2 linked regions of the Rhinolophus ferrumequinum genome follow. The protein of the gene in region 1 interacts with the protein of each later gene in a biochemical or structural test. Links are inferred from orthologs where the notes say so. Each region holds a gene or a part of one and is shown on either strand. Other genes may lie near its edges. The genes, in order: ATM and RBBP8.

Region 1 (7,237 bases):
AAATATTTGTTAAATATAAGTATCTACAGCCTCTTCGTGATATAAAGGAGAACAGGAATAAAGGCTCTTGACCTTTTGGGTTGGGGGTGGGAGGAAGGTGTGCCAGTCCTGCTTCTGTTTGCCTTGGAATCTATTTTTTACCCTTTTCCTGCTCTGCACTATGACAGGAAACCTGAGCCCATGCAGGCAATGTTTCCTAGGCTCCAGGTCAGCTGGCTTCTGGCTGGGTTCAATAAATGGGAAGCTCTGGTGTGAGACTGGAAGAAGCCACACCATTTTTCTCCCATTCTCTCTCTGCCTTAATCTCCTCTAGGACTACTGCTCCCTCACCAGACAAACCTACCTTCCATCTTCCACACAGTGAACCCAGCCTCTGGGTTGCCTCGTTTCTCCTCTCCTCCTGTTTTAGTGGCTTCCAGCTGTTGCTACCCTCTGAGTTGGCTCACTTAAGCTGCTGGTCTTCTTACCTTTTATATTGGCAGTGTAACCAACTCCTTCATTAAATCCCTCCATGTTAAATACTCAGATAGGTTTCAGTTTTCCTGAATGGATGCTGATTCATGCAGAAAGGAACAAATCTATTTAGGAATCTAAAGAAAGTTCTGGACGCTTCACCCATAAAAATGCCCCACCTGCACATAAACCTTTACAGTTTTGGGGGATCCTAAAACTATCGAAGCCTGTCCATTAATCCCAGATTAAGAATACTGAATAGGACAAAAAAGCTGCGTAAGTTTCATTTAGGGAAGATAAAAAAGTTCTAGAGGGAAATGATGGTGATAGTTACAGAACAATGTGAATGTAAGTAAATGCAAATAAACTTAATTCCACAGAACTGTACCCTTAAAAATCACTAAAATGGTTCAATTTTGTGTATATTTTCCAAAGAAAGGTAAGTAAACACACATGCTAAGGGAATAACAGAAGTAATGTGCAATGTTGTTGTGGGAACATTTAAGGAGAAAACACTAATTATAATACTTGCTGGAAGAGGTTTCAGCGATTACATTTCACCTGAACCTTAAATATCAGTATGTACTAGGAAGACAGGGAGTAAAACACTGCAGGCAGAGGAAACAGAATATATAGGAATATTTGGAGAAACTGTAAGTAGTTTGGTATGCCTGGAGCATGGGGCAGACGCTGAGAAGTTGAGATCAAGCAGGAGAGGGAAGAAGGATCAGCTCCACACGACACTTTGGATTTTATCAGTATGCCATACAAACTGGTGGCCCAGAGGCAGTAAACAACACTTGGATGTATTTTGGCCTGTGCAATATTTAAAGACATTCCAGCAAGACTAAAGAGCTGGCTGTAGCTGAGTAGCAAGGGCTATCTAAGTGGGGAAGCGAGGTACAAAAATCAGTGCAGTGCGTTGAAAGAAAGGTAGGTGAGGAAGCAGAGCAACTGTATAGTTTTCATTGTTCTTTGAATAAATTTAACTTGTGAAAGGGTGACAGAGCATTAGACAGAATGTGAGGTGGGGTGCAGAAAATGGTGTGTGTGCGTAACGGTAAAAACACCTAATTATGTGAACTCTGAAGGGAGAACTTACTTCTCTCTATTCTCAGCATTTGGCAGTGTCTGGAACATACCAGCACCCAAAGATTTGCTGAAAGAACCTTATGAAGGACAGGGGCCAATGACAGAGAAGGGCTGACGATGCGGCAGGAGAAGAATCATGAGCGAATAATAAAATGAATATTTTAAGCCATTAAGTTTTGGAATTGCTAATCTTTACCTGAATTTCAAGATAATGCTAAATGAAAAAAAGTAAGAGCAGTGAGTGTGCAGACACTTCTTTATTATTCTCTTGCACAATGTTAAATTTTTGGTAAGCACAATTGTTTCAACTTTAAGAACAGGAGGTGTAGTGTAAATGCTTTAGGCAGATTTTGTAACAGTAAATAAGATGAATTGCAAGACTATTGAAAAGCCATGACAAAAGTACAAAAGAGAAGTAGGATAGGTGGCAATCAAAATGGAATCTGAATGACAAAGAACTAGTTTAGGATAAGAACAATGACTCTGGAGTTTTTACCCACTGAAAAAAAGAAGAGCAGCTGTTTGTGGAGAATAAAGACTTTCACAAGTTGGTGTGAATTATTCCAGTTAGAAAATCATATTGCTTTTTTAAGACTAGCGGTTCTTTAACTGGGGGCGATTTTGCCCTCCCTAGTACATACTAGCAATATCTGGAGACATTTTTCTTTGTCAAAACTGGGTGGTGGTGGGGAGTGGGGTCCTACTGGCATCTAAAGCATAGAGGCCACGGATGTGCTGCTACACATCCCACAATGCACAGGAGAGTTCCCCATAAATAATTATCTGGCCCCAATTGTCAATAGTGCCCAGGTTGACAAACCCTGTTGAAGACTGTGGTTACTGAAGCCCATCTGGATCACCAAACTGCCAAAACTCAAAAATTCTTAAGCAAACACTGCATGAATGAAAAAAAATATGTCAATGTTATCGCGAACTTTAGCAAAGTCTACTTTGGATTGGTTTTCATGTAAGCCTAACAAATGTAACAATTGCAAGACAGCTTTTTCTCACAGATATAGATGTAGGTTAACTGTTGATACTCAAGTCTGATAAAATGGGCAAAAAGATTAGGCAAACATTACCAAAATATTAGTTTGACCTGAATCCATTCAATTAGCTTTTCCAAAAATGGATGGTGGAACCACTACCCTCTAATATTTCCTGCAAAGTGTCTAGTAAGAGCCCATGCACAAACACCACTTCTTTGGACAGGGCTGAGTATTTAAAAAAGAAACAAGACATAGGTTTTTCTAACAATAAAACAATGGTAGTAATGGCTGTGGATACTACAGGAAGTTTCATCACAGATGTTTACCATTTACTTTCAGGGATATTGCACATGATGTCTGTAAATCATTGGCTCAAGTTTTGAGCTTTATGTGGCACTCGTTCCCAGCAGTACAATTCTCTTTATTCTTTGAGGGGACAAACAAAACCTGTCTCTCACATAGACAATACACCCTGACAACTGGTCCAAGGAATTAACCCTCCTTAAATGGAGGAAAAACTAACCGGGACTAGAAATTTTAACTGGAAGGAATTTCCCGTGTAATTTCTTGCTCATCAAAATAGGAATTGCTGCTGTTTTAATATCCAACTGGCATTTAAAACCTCTACACTGAACGACTTATTGCGGGGTAGACTGGAGAGGGAAGAACACCCCATTCGCCCCAAATCCGTAGTTCTAAGGGCGAATTATGAGAAGGGCGTCAGGAAGGTCTTTCTACAAAGCTGGGTGAATGAGGAAGTCCTTATATTTTTCCTATTTTGGTCCCAGCCCTGAGAAGGGAAAGTGCGCCCAAGATTGAAAAACACACAGCCCGTCCGTCACGTAGACACCTCTCCTTCAAGGGTCCCAATTAAGTGTGGAGGCCTGACTGGCCCTCCGAATCCGGGCCTCAGGTGTTCCATGCCGAGCTTCTCTTCAGTCCTCTCCTTACCACGCAGCCTCTGAGGAGCGGAGCATCCACACACAAAGAGGCTTACACTGCCCGAGCCTCCGGCTGAAGAAGAGTCACCGCCAGGCTGAAGTTGTAGGCGGGGAGGCAAAAGCCCAAAGCTTCCCCACCCTGGGAAAACCTTTGGCCCCAAAGGTCCTTCCGTCCCGCTTAGCTGGTCCAATATCCCTCTCTCCCGCGTCCGAACTTACCCAATACCAGCCGGGCTACGTCCGAAGGTAACAACATGATCCAAACCGCAGAAGGAACCGCAATAGGAGACAAGACTCAGGTAAAAGCCAACACAGCGACAGCTCCTGCGCCGCATCTCCCGGTTCCAGTGGCGGCACTGAACCCGCGGCAATTTGTCCCGCCTCTTTCACTTCACGCCAGCCAATCGCTTCCGCGGGAGAAAGAAAGGCGCCGAAATGAAACCCGCCTCCGTTCTCCTTGGCACTGTCGTCATTTCCGCCCTCATATTTGGAGGGGTGGGGCTGAAAGGGGCAAGGAGGTGGGGTGCTTGCCCAGGAACTCGAGCCAGAGGACGAGCTGCAAATGCAAGGGCGCAAGCCATTGGTGGGCGAGGCGCAAGCGTGTTTCCTCAGCCGAGTCCAATGTTTTGAGGAAGCGAGTACTTGGAACCCAGAGCAAGTGATGCTGCCGCGCATGGGCAGACGGTGTGCCGGCTGGGTCAGCCTTCTTTCTTCCTCCCGAGAAGGGTGCTGCGCGGTCACGCCAAGTTTGAACCGGAAGCGGGAATTGTGCGTGGATAGCGGGCTGCAGCACTTGTGGCTGCGAGCAGAGGCGAGGAGAGCGGCGATTTGGACTGCAACCACCGCCGCTTCAAGAAATTGCACTTTGGCTGTCGTGGAGTCCTGCGGTAGGCGCACAGAAGCAATGCTTTGGGGGAATTCAGTCCTATCCGAGCCGTTCTAGCCTCTAGACACCCAATCTTACGCACTCCTCTAGAGCGGCCTTTTACTCCTCTCTACACCTGATCTTTCCCGGTCCCTATTCTCATCGCTGTCTCCTGCCCTCTCTCCGAGCTCCTAGCGGATTTAGCCTTGAACCTTTTCTTGAATGCCCTGAATTGAACCCTCCTACGAGTCCAAGTTTAACTAGATGACTAATCTTTTTTCCCTCTCTCATTATTAGTAGTTTTAATCAACGAGCATCTGTTGAGGCTTAAACTACTGTCGCGTGGTTTAAGAACATGGGCTCTGCAATCACACTGCCAGAGTTCGAATTCTGTCAGCTGTGACTTCGCTGTACTATCTTCCTTGTGACAATTCTTGCCTTGTGACAATTCTTGCCTGTGGTGAGCATTGCAGGACGTTCGCTGCTGATTTTACCAGGTATAATTCAGTAAAAAGACTAACAATCCAGGATGATAATGTGATAGAAGAGAACTGTGATAGTAGAGGGGTGAAGGAGGTTCTGTGGAAACAGACTGGGAGAATCAATTCTTTAGTATATTCAGGAATGAAGGTACCTACCTTTATGGTTCTTTGGGTGTTGCTAAGGTGTCTTCATTGGTTAGAATCCCAATTTTATTTTCCTTATTGATTCAATCAAGGAGACTGTAGATTAAACAAAAAGGGGGAAGAATCATGTATAAAACCATAAGGAATGGAAAAATAAAAATAACCTGTCCTCAAGAAGTATACAATCAAATGAAAAAGACTATCAAATAACATCCTGTAACCTACCGCAAAGTAAAGGAGGGTGTCATAGGGATGAGCAGGGGTCAGAAGGACCAATGAATACAAATGGAGAAAAGAATTAGAGCTATCTGTCAATGAAATTGGTAGTCTTACTCTGTAGTTTGCTTCAATTTAAATGTCATGTTTCTTAGAAAAGGTCCCAGAACAATAACATAAATTGTATGTTTTATGTTTTATCCTGCCAATTCACACAAAGCACACATTTGCATGTTGAAGCTTTGTTTTGATATATTCTGAGAAAATCTCATTTAAACTTGGAAATGTTAAGAAAAATCATTGTGCCTTTGATCACGATATGCCTCTAGTTGTACATTTAGATCTAATTATATATTAATAGCATAGTCTGAAATAATTTTATGTATGTATTTTTTTACAGACCATGAGCTGTTTTCTGAAATTCTGAACCATGAGTCTAGCACTTAATGATCTCCTTATTTGCTGTCGGCAACTAGAACATGATAGAGCTACAGAACGAAGGGTAGTGAATTACTTAAATTCAATCTTGCCTTGAAGCAAGCGTGTGGTTGCTAACCATTATTATGTTTTCATTTTCAGAAAGAAGTTGAGAAATTTAAGCGCCTTATTCGGGATCCTGAAACCGTTCAACATTTAGATAGGCATTCAGATTCCAAACAAGGGAAATACTTAAATTGGGATGCTGTTTTTAGGTATTCCATTCTAAGTTTTTTTACTGTATTTTTTATTTGTTGTGATTGTGTGTGTGTGTGTGTGTGTGTGTGTCTGTGTGTGTGTGTGTGTGTATTTTTAGGTTCTTACTTGTCTTTGTTCCCTATATAACATTGTGCTTTACATACGAAGTTAGTGCTTAATATTTATCTGAAACATAATTTTTAAAAGGTGTTTATATAGACAGAATTTTGAATCATTTGTTCAATAAAATGTTTTAGACATGTCTCACTCAAGATTAGAGAATTCCTTTCATAGCAGTTAGTTCATAAGACTTTATTTTAAATTAGAGAATAAAGTTGTAAGTGCTTTATTATTACTTTGATATCTTTAAATATTGCTCTAAATAACTGCCAGATGTTAAATTATAATAAAACATCAAAAGGAATTTTAGAATAATTTCATATGAATGCAATTTAAAAAACAAACAGAGCTCAGGCATTGGACTGGACTGTCAAATAGAATTGATACATTTTTACATTAAGCCAGTTTTTAACTATGAAGTCCATTTATAACTGGAAATAGGTTGGAAGACTTAGGAAAGATGAATAAAATATTTTAAATTAGTGTAGAATACTTAGTAACTTGAAACAGCATATGCAGTCAAAAAGAAGTATGAGTATTGTTCCTGAGAATTTAGAACAGATAATCTATTTTATTTTTTTACCTCTTATTTGGTGCTAGATTGTTACAGATTTCAGTGCTGAAAACATGATAAATGCATGCTTCTTTTCCTCTGGTTTCTTAGTTTATTTCAGATACCACAAATACAGATATTATTTAAAGATGAATACTATTTTGAATAAGCTGATCAGGTAGACCAAATATGCACCTGGAACTCCCAATTAATCATGAATATCTTCTAGGCAGGCTTCATTAAAATGCCAGAAATGTTACCAGCTGCCTAGGGAAGAGTCAGGTCATGTATAGAATAACAGCAAGAGGTGAGAGAATTAAGAGCCGTTAATAGTACTGCAAGCTTTTAATGATAAAGAGAAAGCGGGCAGTAAAGCAATAGAAAATCATGGAGGTTACAGATTAAGAGCTTTGCAGACCAGACTTTAAATTGATACTTGGGGCTTAAGCCTTGAAAAAGAAATTTGATTATTTCATTTAGCTGATACATTGATTAAAGCGACATGGTTTAAAATATGCTCTTTATGATGGCATGAAGGATTTTTTGAAACTATTATAATTATTTAAGCATTTAATGAGTTTCTGAAATTCTATTTTGTTTTCTTGAAGATTCTTACAAGGATATATTCAGAAAGAAACAGAAAGTCTGAAAACAGCAAAACCAAATGTATCAGCCTCAACACAAGCCACCAGGCAGAAAAGGATGCA
Region 2 (7,426 bases), on another chromosome or scaffold:
CTCATAGTAAAAACCAATCATATTCACATCTTCTCTCTCTCTCTCTCTGTCTCTCTCTCTCTCTTTCTTTCTCTCTCTCTCTCTCTCTCTCTCTCTCTCTCTCTCTCTCTCTCTCTTCTCTTTCTCTCTCTTCCCTCCTCCTCCCTTTCTTCTTCCCATCCTCTCTCCCTCTGTCTTCCTCTCGCTCTCTTTCCTTCTTTCAGTCATAGGCAAGATGATTTTAAAGTAAAAATCACAGTCTCCATAACTTACTGGTGTGCAAGGACCCTATTTGGTGCTGTGGTCTTGGGACTGGTGGCCATGTTGAACTTTAAGCAAAAAGAAGTGGAGACACTTCTGGATTCCATGTTTTCATCTTTCTTAATTTACTCCTATTTCGTAGCACATCATTTAGTAGTTTCTTAATTTTACTTTCTGGTAGATTTCTTCAACTTTACCTTCCAACTGCTGTTGACTTTTTATTTCTGCTATCATATTTTTTACTCTCCAATACCTTTTTTATTCTCCAAAAGTTTCACTGTTAGACAGCCTTCTGTTCTTGTTTTATGTAATCAGTACTTCTAGGTTTTTGAAGATATTAATATAGGTGGGGTTTGTAATTATTATTATTCTCCCTACATTGACAATTTTCTATAAATTCTTTTTATCTCTTGGTTCCTTTTTTGTCTCTTTCATGTTAGGTGTTCTCTATATCTTAGAATGAGGCATAAAAATGCTCTCTGTGTCTAGGTGGGATTTATTTATTTATATTAGGGTGATGTTGGCTATAGGCTTAATATTAGGCTAGGGTTTCTCATCTTTGGCGCTATTGACATTTTGAATTGGATAATTATGTGGGGGTTGGGGCAGGGAGAAGGGAGGACGTGCTGTCCTGTTCATTTTAAGACGCTTAATAGCATCCCTGGCCTCTGTGCAGTAGAAGCCAATGGCATACCTCTGCCCTCCACACCCTTCACACACAGTTATTTACAATCAAGAATTTCTCCAGACATTGCCAAATGGCCCCGTGGGTACAACCATGCCTAGTTAATAACCACTGCATTAGGGTGAGGAGAGTTTTGAAATTTTCTTGGAGAGAATTTCTCTAGTTTCCTGCTTTCTGAGTGAGGAGTATGAACCTGGTTACTGGCATTCAGAAGCCAAGCAGAGGTATGGACCTGGGCATCTCACCACTCAATATAGAGACTTTGACTTAATCTCAGTGGTAGGCAGGATACAGCCTCTCAAAGATGTCCACATTCTAATCTCCTGAACCTATGAATATGTATGTTACATAACATGGGGAGATTATCCTGTATTACACAGTTAGACTTAAATATGGAAGAGGAAGGCAGCAGAGTCAGTGTTAGAATGATGCCATGTGAGAAAGACTTGACTGGCCATTGCTGGCTTTGAAGATGGAAGGGAGCCATGAGCCAAGGAAGGCAGGCAGCCTCTCAAAGCTGGAAAAGACAAGGAAACAGATTCTCCCCCAGCGCCTCCAGAAAGGAATTCAACCCTGCTGACACCCTAACTGTAGCAAGTAAGACCCATTTTGGACTTCTAACCTCCAGAACTGTAAGACAATAAATTTGTGTTCTTTTAAACCACTAAGTTTGTGGTAATTTGTTATAGCAGCCATAGGAAACTAGTACAATCTCATTGCTTTCAGTGTAGTACTTTACCATTCGCCTTCATCTCTGCCTGGTATTTTCAAGTCTAGAACCAATCTGGGACAATCTCTCCCAGCATGAATCAACAAGTCCTGCCTGTCTTTTGTCAACCAATCCTTCCATTTAAAGCCTTTCCCCAAACTCCCCCAAACCATTTAGAGATGCCGCCAATTCCAGAAGTTTTCTAGGATTCTGCAGCAAAGATAGACTTTCTTTTATCATTGCAAGTAGACTTCCTCTTTCTCTATTCTGCTAAATCAGTCATCACCTATGCACATTCCTTCTTCCAAAATTTATGGACATCTCTTGTGTGCTACCTCTCTCATTCTGTTTGATCCTTAAGAGTTCATGCTGTTTTTGTTCTTTGCTATTTACTGTTTTGGTCATTGTAGTGGGACTTTAAGAAATAATGAAAAAAACAACCATGTCAACTACTGTTTAACTACAGTTTTATTTTTAGCTGACATTTTATTGGGTGCTTATTGTGTACTAGATTTTTGGATAAAGCCTCATGTGAATTATTTTATTTGAACCATAGAATAACTCTTGGAGATAGCAACTATTACTTTCACCCACATTAAGTAAATAAAATGAATGCTTGATTCAGGTGACAAAGCTAATATGGAACAAAACTAGGAAGGAACCCATTTTTCTGACTCCCAAGTCCATTTTCCTAACCAATCTTGTTAATTTTCACCAGTTTCACTCTTGAGCAGTTGTCAGCAAACCATGGCCCATTGGCCAGATCCAGCCTGTCACTTTATTAAGTTTTATTGGAACAAAGCCACACCCATTCATTGACTATTGTTTACATCTCTTTTTGTACTACCATGTTAGAGTTCAATAGTTGAAATAGAGTTCAATAGTTGAAACAAAAACCCTAAAATATTTACTCTCTGATCCTTGTGGAAAAATTTGCTAAGCCCTGCTCTAGAAAATAACATTATTATTAAGTTTTCAGGTCATGGTGTCCTCAAGTACTTAAAACTTTTATTACTGTATCAAATCAAAGGCATTCTTTTCATTGTTCCCTCAACCTTTTGTTATATTGCAGATATCAATCTTTGATCACGGTTAAGAAAGGCTCTAAACCCATCTCCTTTGTGCAGTTTTTCCCCTATTCAGTCATATTTGCTCCCTTTTCTGTGCTCCTGTGTACCTAATGCAGTTTGATTCACATAATAGTTACTAGTTGTAATTCCCCTTGGATCTAGCAAGTGCTGGTGTTGAGTAGATATTTACTTAAGCATTTATTAAATACTTTCTAAGTGTTGGAGTTTTAGACACTGGAGACACAAAAACAAATGGCAACTTTGGATTAATATGTATCCTATTTAATTAAGTACAAAAAAATAGAAAAGAAGCAGGAGTCTGGGCCTGTGGTCCCTGCAACAACTGCAGCATAATCACAAGTGCTTGAGTAACACCCTAGACCTATTAGTAACACTCCACCCCGGACGAAATCTCTGGAGGTGAGACCCGGTAATTTGTGTTCTTAATCAGCATTTCAGGAGGTACTTAAGCAAGGAAATTTGAGAATCGCTGCATCAATAGATAGAAAAGACTGATTTGAAATGTGCAAGTATTATGACAGAGTAAGAACAAATCTCACATGGTCTCCCTTAACACAAACCAATTTCCATCAATATATGATCTTGTGTTGCTCATTCCTTCTTTCCAAAAGATTCCTAGACATGCTTATCTAGAAATTTGGACAGTCCTCCCACCTCTTACTAAATGTGTCTTTTTCATCATTGTAACCCTGTACCGGGCACAGCTTCTGGCACCTAGTAGATATCAGTAATTTGTGTTCAGCTGTTGCATATCCAAAGTAAAACCTCTCCAAGTTGTCCTAGTATATAGAAATAGGAATTTTTCCAATTTTAGACTGGGATGGTATAAGGATCTTTTGAGTACAAGGAAGATTAACACACCCAGGTAAATGTTTAGTCAATCTCCATCTTGTTTTCCTCCCTCTGGAAATGCTTCCTTCTAGCTCTCAGGGCCACTACTCTTGTGGGAATATCAACCTCCACGTTAAGGCTAAGCTAGACTGAATAGAGCCAAGTGGACTAGTGGAAAAGGTTAAACACTATAGGTTCTTCATGTAGATATTCTCCTTCTAGAAGCTTTAGCGTGCAGAGCCCTAGAGTACATTTTAAAAAGGGTTACCTACCTCGGAGAACGATAGATACTCACGGAGAGGTTTATAACAATGGACTCTTGCTATACCTGACACAGATCTACCCCTCCCACTAGAACTCTGAATTATTTTGCTGGAGGCTACAACATTCTGAGCAGTTTATTGGAAGTTGCAGGTGGGGATAACTCACCCAGTACAAGCTTAGCAGAACTGAGCCGCTGCAGCTTGTTAGGCTAGCCTTTGATGCAGACTGGTTGGACAGGTTCTGGACCTACAGAAGAACCGGTTTGACTGGCCTGTTATGCCAACATATTCTGGTTTGATTCCATGTTCCACAGACGGTAGAAACCTGCCCAGCCAGTTAAATGAAAGACATATTAGGTTATCCATTGCACACTGTATATAGCTTAGATGCAGCACAACTCTTCCACATAGCAGTAGTGTCTAGTAAACTCTAGCGTGGTCCAGCGAGGTGGCTTCCACTGATTTACTGTTTAAGTTCATAGCTTCAGGGAAAGTCAGCAGTGAAACACCTGCTTTTGACCAAGAGCAGAGGGTTTCTAAATAAATTGAAGGGTAAGTTAATACATTTTTTTTTATATATTTCTCAGTATTCTGTGCACTTTTGGAAGGTTAAATTAAATGATGTTTTAAGATGTCTATTTTTAATATGATAATAACTGCATTATACCTTTTATGTAAAACTGGTTCTATATGGTTTTGTAACACTTGCATATATGTTCACTGATTTGTTTGGATAAAGGTTATTTGGTATATAATACACTTTGGCTATACCTTTTTGTAAGTTGGGCATGACTTGGGCATACAGTCATTTAAAAAGCTGAGTTGAACAATTTTGCTAAATATATTTCACCTATTAATGATTCACCTTAAGCCATCTACTTCTTTGATAATGTCCTATTATGTTTTATAGACTGTTGCTACACAGGAACAATTTTATATGATAAATCTAATTGTGGATGAAATAATAATTGCTTTTTTAAGGTGCAAAGAAAAAAATGGTGTTGGCTTCCTTGGTGATCCTAAGTACATTAGAGGAACAATTCACAGCAAGAATTGAGGAGTGTGGAAAAAAAAAAAAAAACATTGTGGAATCTGGTAACTGATTAACTATTGGAGCTCAAAAGCACTTGCTGAGCTGAATAGAAAGGAATGAAGACAGGTTTTGTCATGCCTTATTACATCCGAACAACTTTTGGGGTTAAAGAAAATTTGTATCTTCCGTTCCCTTATATTATATTTGAAAATAATTATTTTATGTCTCCCTTTCATTGATCCGATTAATTTATGTTAGGAGTTTGTGTCATTTAAAATGAAAGTTACCGATCCCTTTAGATTTATTTTGGCATACCAAACTACCCCCTTAGTATTAGGTTGAATTGAACGCATGCATCTTCTTGGCATTCAATTTAATGTTACAATTTACACATGAATTTATTTGGAAATTAAAATAATTTTTTTAACAGATTTATACTGAATATTCTCCTGTCTAAAGCTATTTGTAAGCTATCTTAATATAACTTTGCCTTGAGCCTAGCAAGACTGATGCACACTTTTCATTGTCACTAGAGTTCTTACTTTGTCATTGTATTCACACTCAAAGGCTATAAATTTCTTTAGAATGCTAATAAAGAATTTTTTAAGTGAGAATAAATATTCAGATAAGATTTTTTTTTTTCTTTTCTTTTCTTTTTTTTTTTTTTTTGGCAAAACCCTTTGGATGCTTTTTCACTCCAAAGCAATTCTGCATAAAACTGCTGATAATTCAGCTAAACTTCTAAAAAGCCATGTAATGTTGAATCTGCAAAAGGAATGTGCTGATTCAGCAAACCAAAATTAATTTTATTCAGCATAAGCTGTATTCTGACGATTTGAAGGAAATATGGATCAAAATTTTTAGTTGGGTGAAATTTTCTCTTTTCAGGTAAGATACAGACATGTCAACAGAGTATACTTTTAGTGTTTTTGGTGACTATATTATATATGGTAATTAAAAATTTTTAAATCATATAGTGTTTAAAATACAGGGCTTACTGTTTGAAAATAAACTTAACTTGGAATTCAAATTTATTTATTGAGCATTTTTATATCTATGATTTTAAGAAAAGCAATTTAAAAGCTAGAGGTATATTTCATAAAAATCCTTGGGCAAAATTTTAAGGTTAACTCTACATTTTGGAGAGGGATTTTACAGTTTTCATTTAATAGGATTTTCCGTTTCAAATATATGAAAGTGCTATTAAACATGAATTTTATGTATTTCCATAAATCGATTCCTTTAAAATATTCATACATTGTGATGTTTTGATTAAAATTAAGGATATACGGATTTATCAATCAAATTAGGAGTGTGTGTGTGTGTGTTTGTGTGTGTGTGTGTGTGTGTATTTTGAATGGCCCTAAATTATCTCAGGGCCAGGGTCAAAAATTGTTCTACTCATTTAAAAATCTTTCAATTCTTTAAGTCTCATTGGATGAATTCCTTTATTCCTAGCGACACAGTTTCACACAATGACTGTTTTTGTCAACAATGTTAGCTTTCTTAACAACAGTAACCTCTTTCCTTCCTGAATATCTGCATGGGTTTCCTGCCAAAAGCACTTAGAATCCTAACATTTTTGAGCTAGAAGGACTCTTAAATATAACTAAGGAATCCAACTCCTCATGCTTGAGTTGAATGAAAAGCCCCAAAATGTAGGTGAATCACCACTATATAACTTAAGGGTCGCTCTGGCACCAGAACATCTCAGTTTCCTGAATACCAGCCCAGACTAATAGTGGTTTTTTTTCACTACCCTACATTGACTCTTCTGAATGCTACATGAAATCTAATCTGTTTTCTAAAGGATTTGTAAAAAGATAAAATTGTATTGTAGAGTTATGTTAATGTGTCTTTGCTGAACTAAGAAATTATTTGTTTTTATATCTTAATCTATATCATTATTGTCCCCAAACTTTTTTTGTCATAGTGGCTAAATTTATGGAGTTACCATTGGTAATGAAGGTGACTACCACTTCAAGCCCTTAATCTCTTAATGCCATCATAAAATTTTGTATCAAACTGACACACTCCTTAATATTTCCTTCATATTCCCCTTCAAGTTTGAGGATCTTGCTGTCGTTTTCTGACTTAATATTGCTTTAAACTATCTCGACTGTTTATTTTCTTAGTATGCATGTATTCTTGTATTGTTTTAGTCACTCTTATGTTGATATAGTTTAGGATTTTTGCCTAAAAAGTTAGTACATCTAAAATTTGGTTAGAACTGACAGGAAAGTTTCAGTAAGGTTATGAAGACCAGAACTGCAGGATTCAAAACCCATGTCTGAGATGATAGAACTTGTTATTTAAGTGGTGAGCTCTTAATACAGTGCTATGCTTATAATTGATCAAAAATTCTTTGAATGTTTTTAACTTCAGGAATTCCAAGGAAATGGGCCTGAGAACAAAAGTCTCAAAATTTTCAATTCTAACTCCTGGAACTAAATGTTAATTTTCCTAATCCCCTTATCTTTTCACAGGGAAAATCCTACCTGAGGGATGCTTCTAAATTTGGTAAATTTAGTTCAGTCCAAGTGGACTCTGGAATATAATCACCTCCATTTGTTT

What was found.
Region 2: of the proteins of ATM (region 1) and RBBP8, one has a biochemical effect on the other in vitro, tested with the Homo sapiens proteins (4 studies listed by BioGRID, with this or other methods). The link is inferred for Rhinolophus ferrumequinum from reciprocal best matches to the Homo sapiens genes ATM and RBBP8.

The regions. Positions count from the first base shown.
Region 1 is NC_046294.1:77,199,862-77,207,098, reverse strand, and holds the start of ATM (serine-protein kinase ATM), read left to right. Parts: upstream 1-4,137; 5' UTR 4,138-4,362; intron 4,363-4,637; exon of another isoform or gene 4,638-4,837; intron 4,838-5,582; 5' UTR 5,583-5,612; coding exon 5,613-5,684; intron 5,685-5,761; coding exon 5,762-5,874; intron 5,875-7,138; coding exon 7,139-7,237. Other genes in the region: protein NPAT, read right to left, coding at 3,695-3,731.
Region 2 is NC_046302.1:18,509,797-18,517,222, forward strand, and holds the start of RBBP8 (DNA endonuclease RBBP8), read left to right. Parts: upstream 1-4,239; 5' UTR 4,240-4,371; intron 4,372-7,426. UniProt on the Homo sapiens protein: Endonuclease that cooperates with the MRE11-RAD50-NBN (MRN) complex in DNA-end resection, the first step of double-strand break (DSB) repair through the homologous recombination (HR) pathway.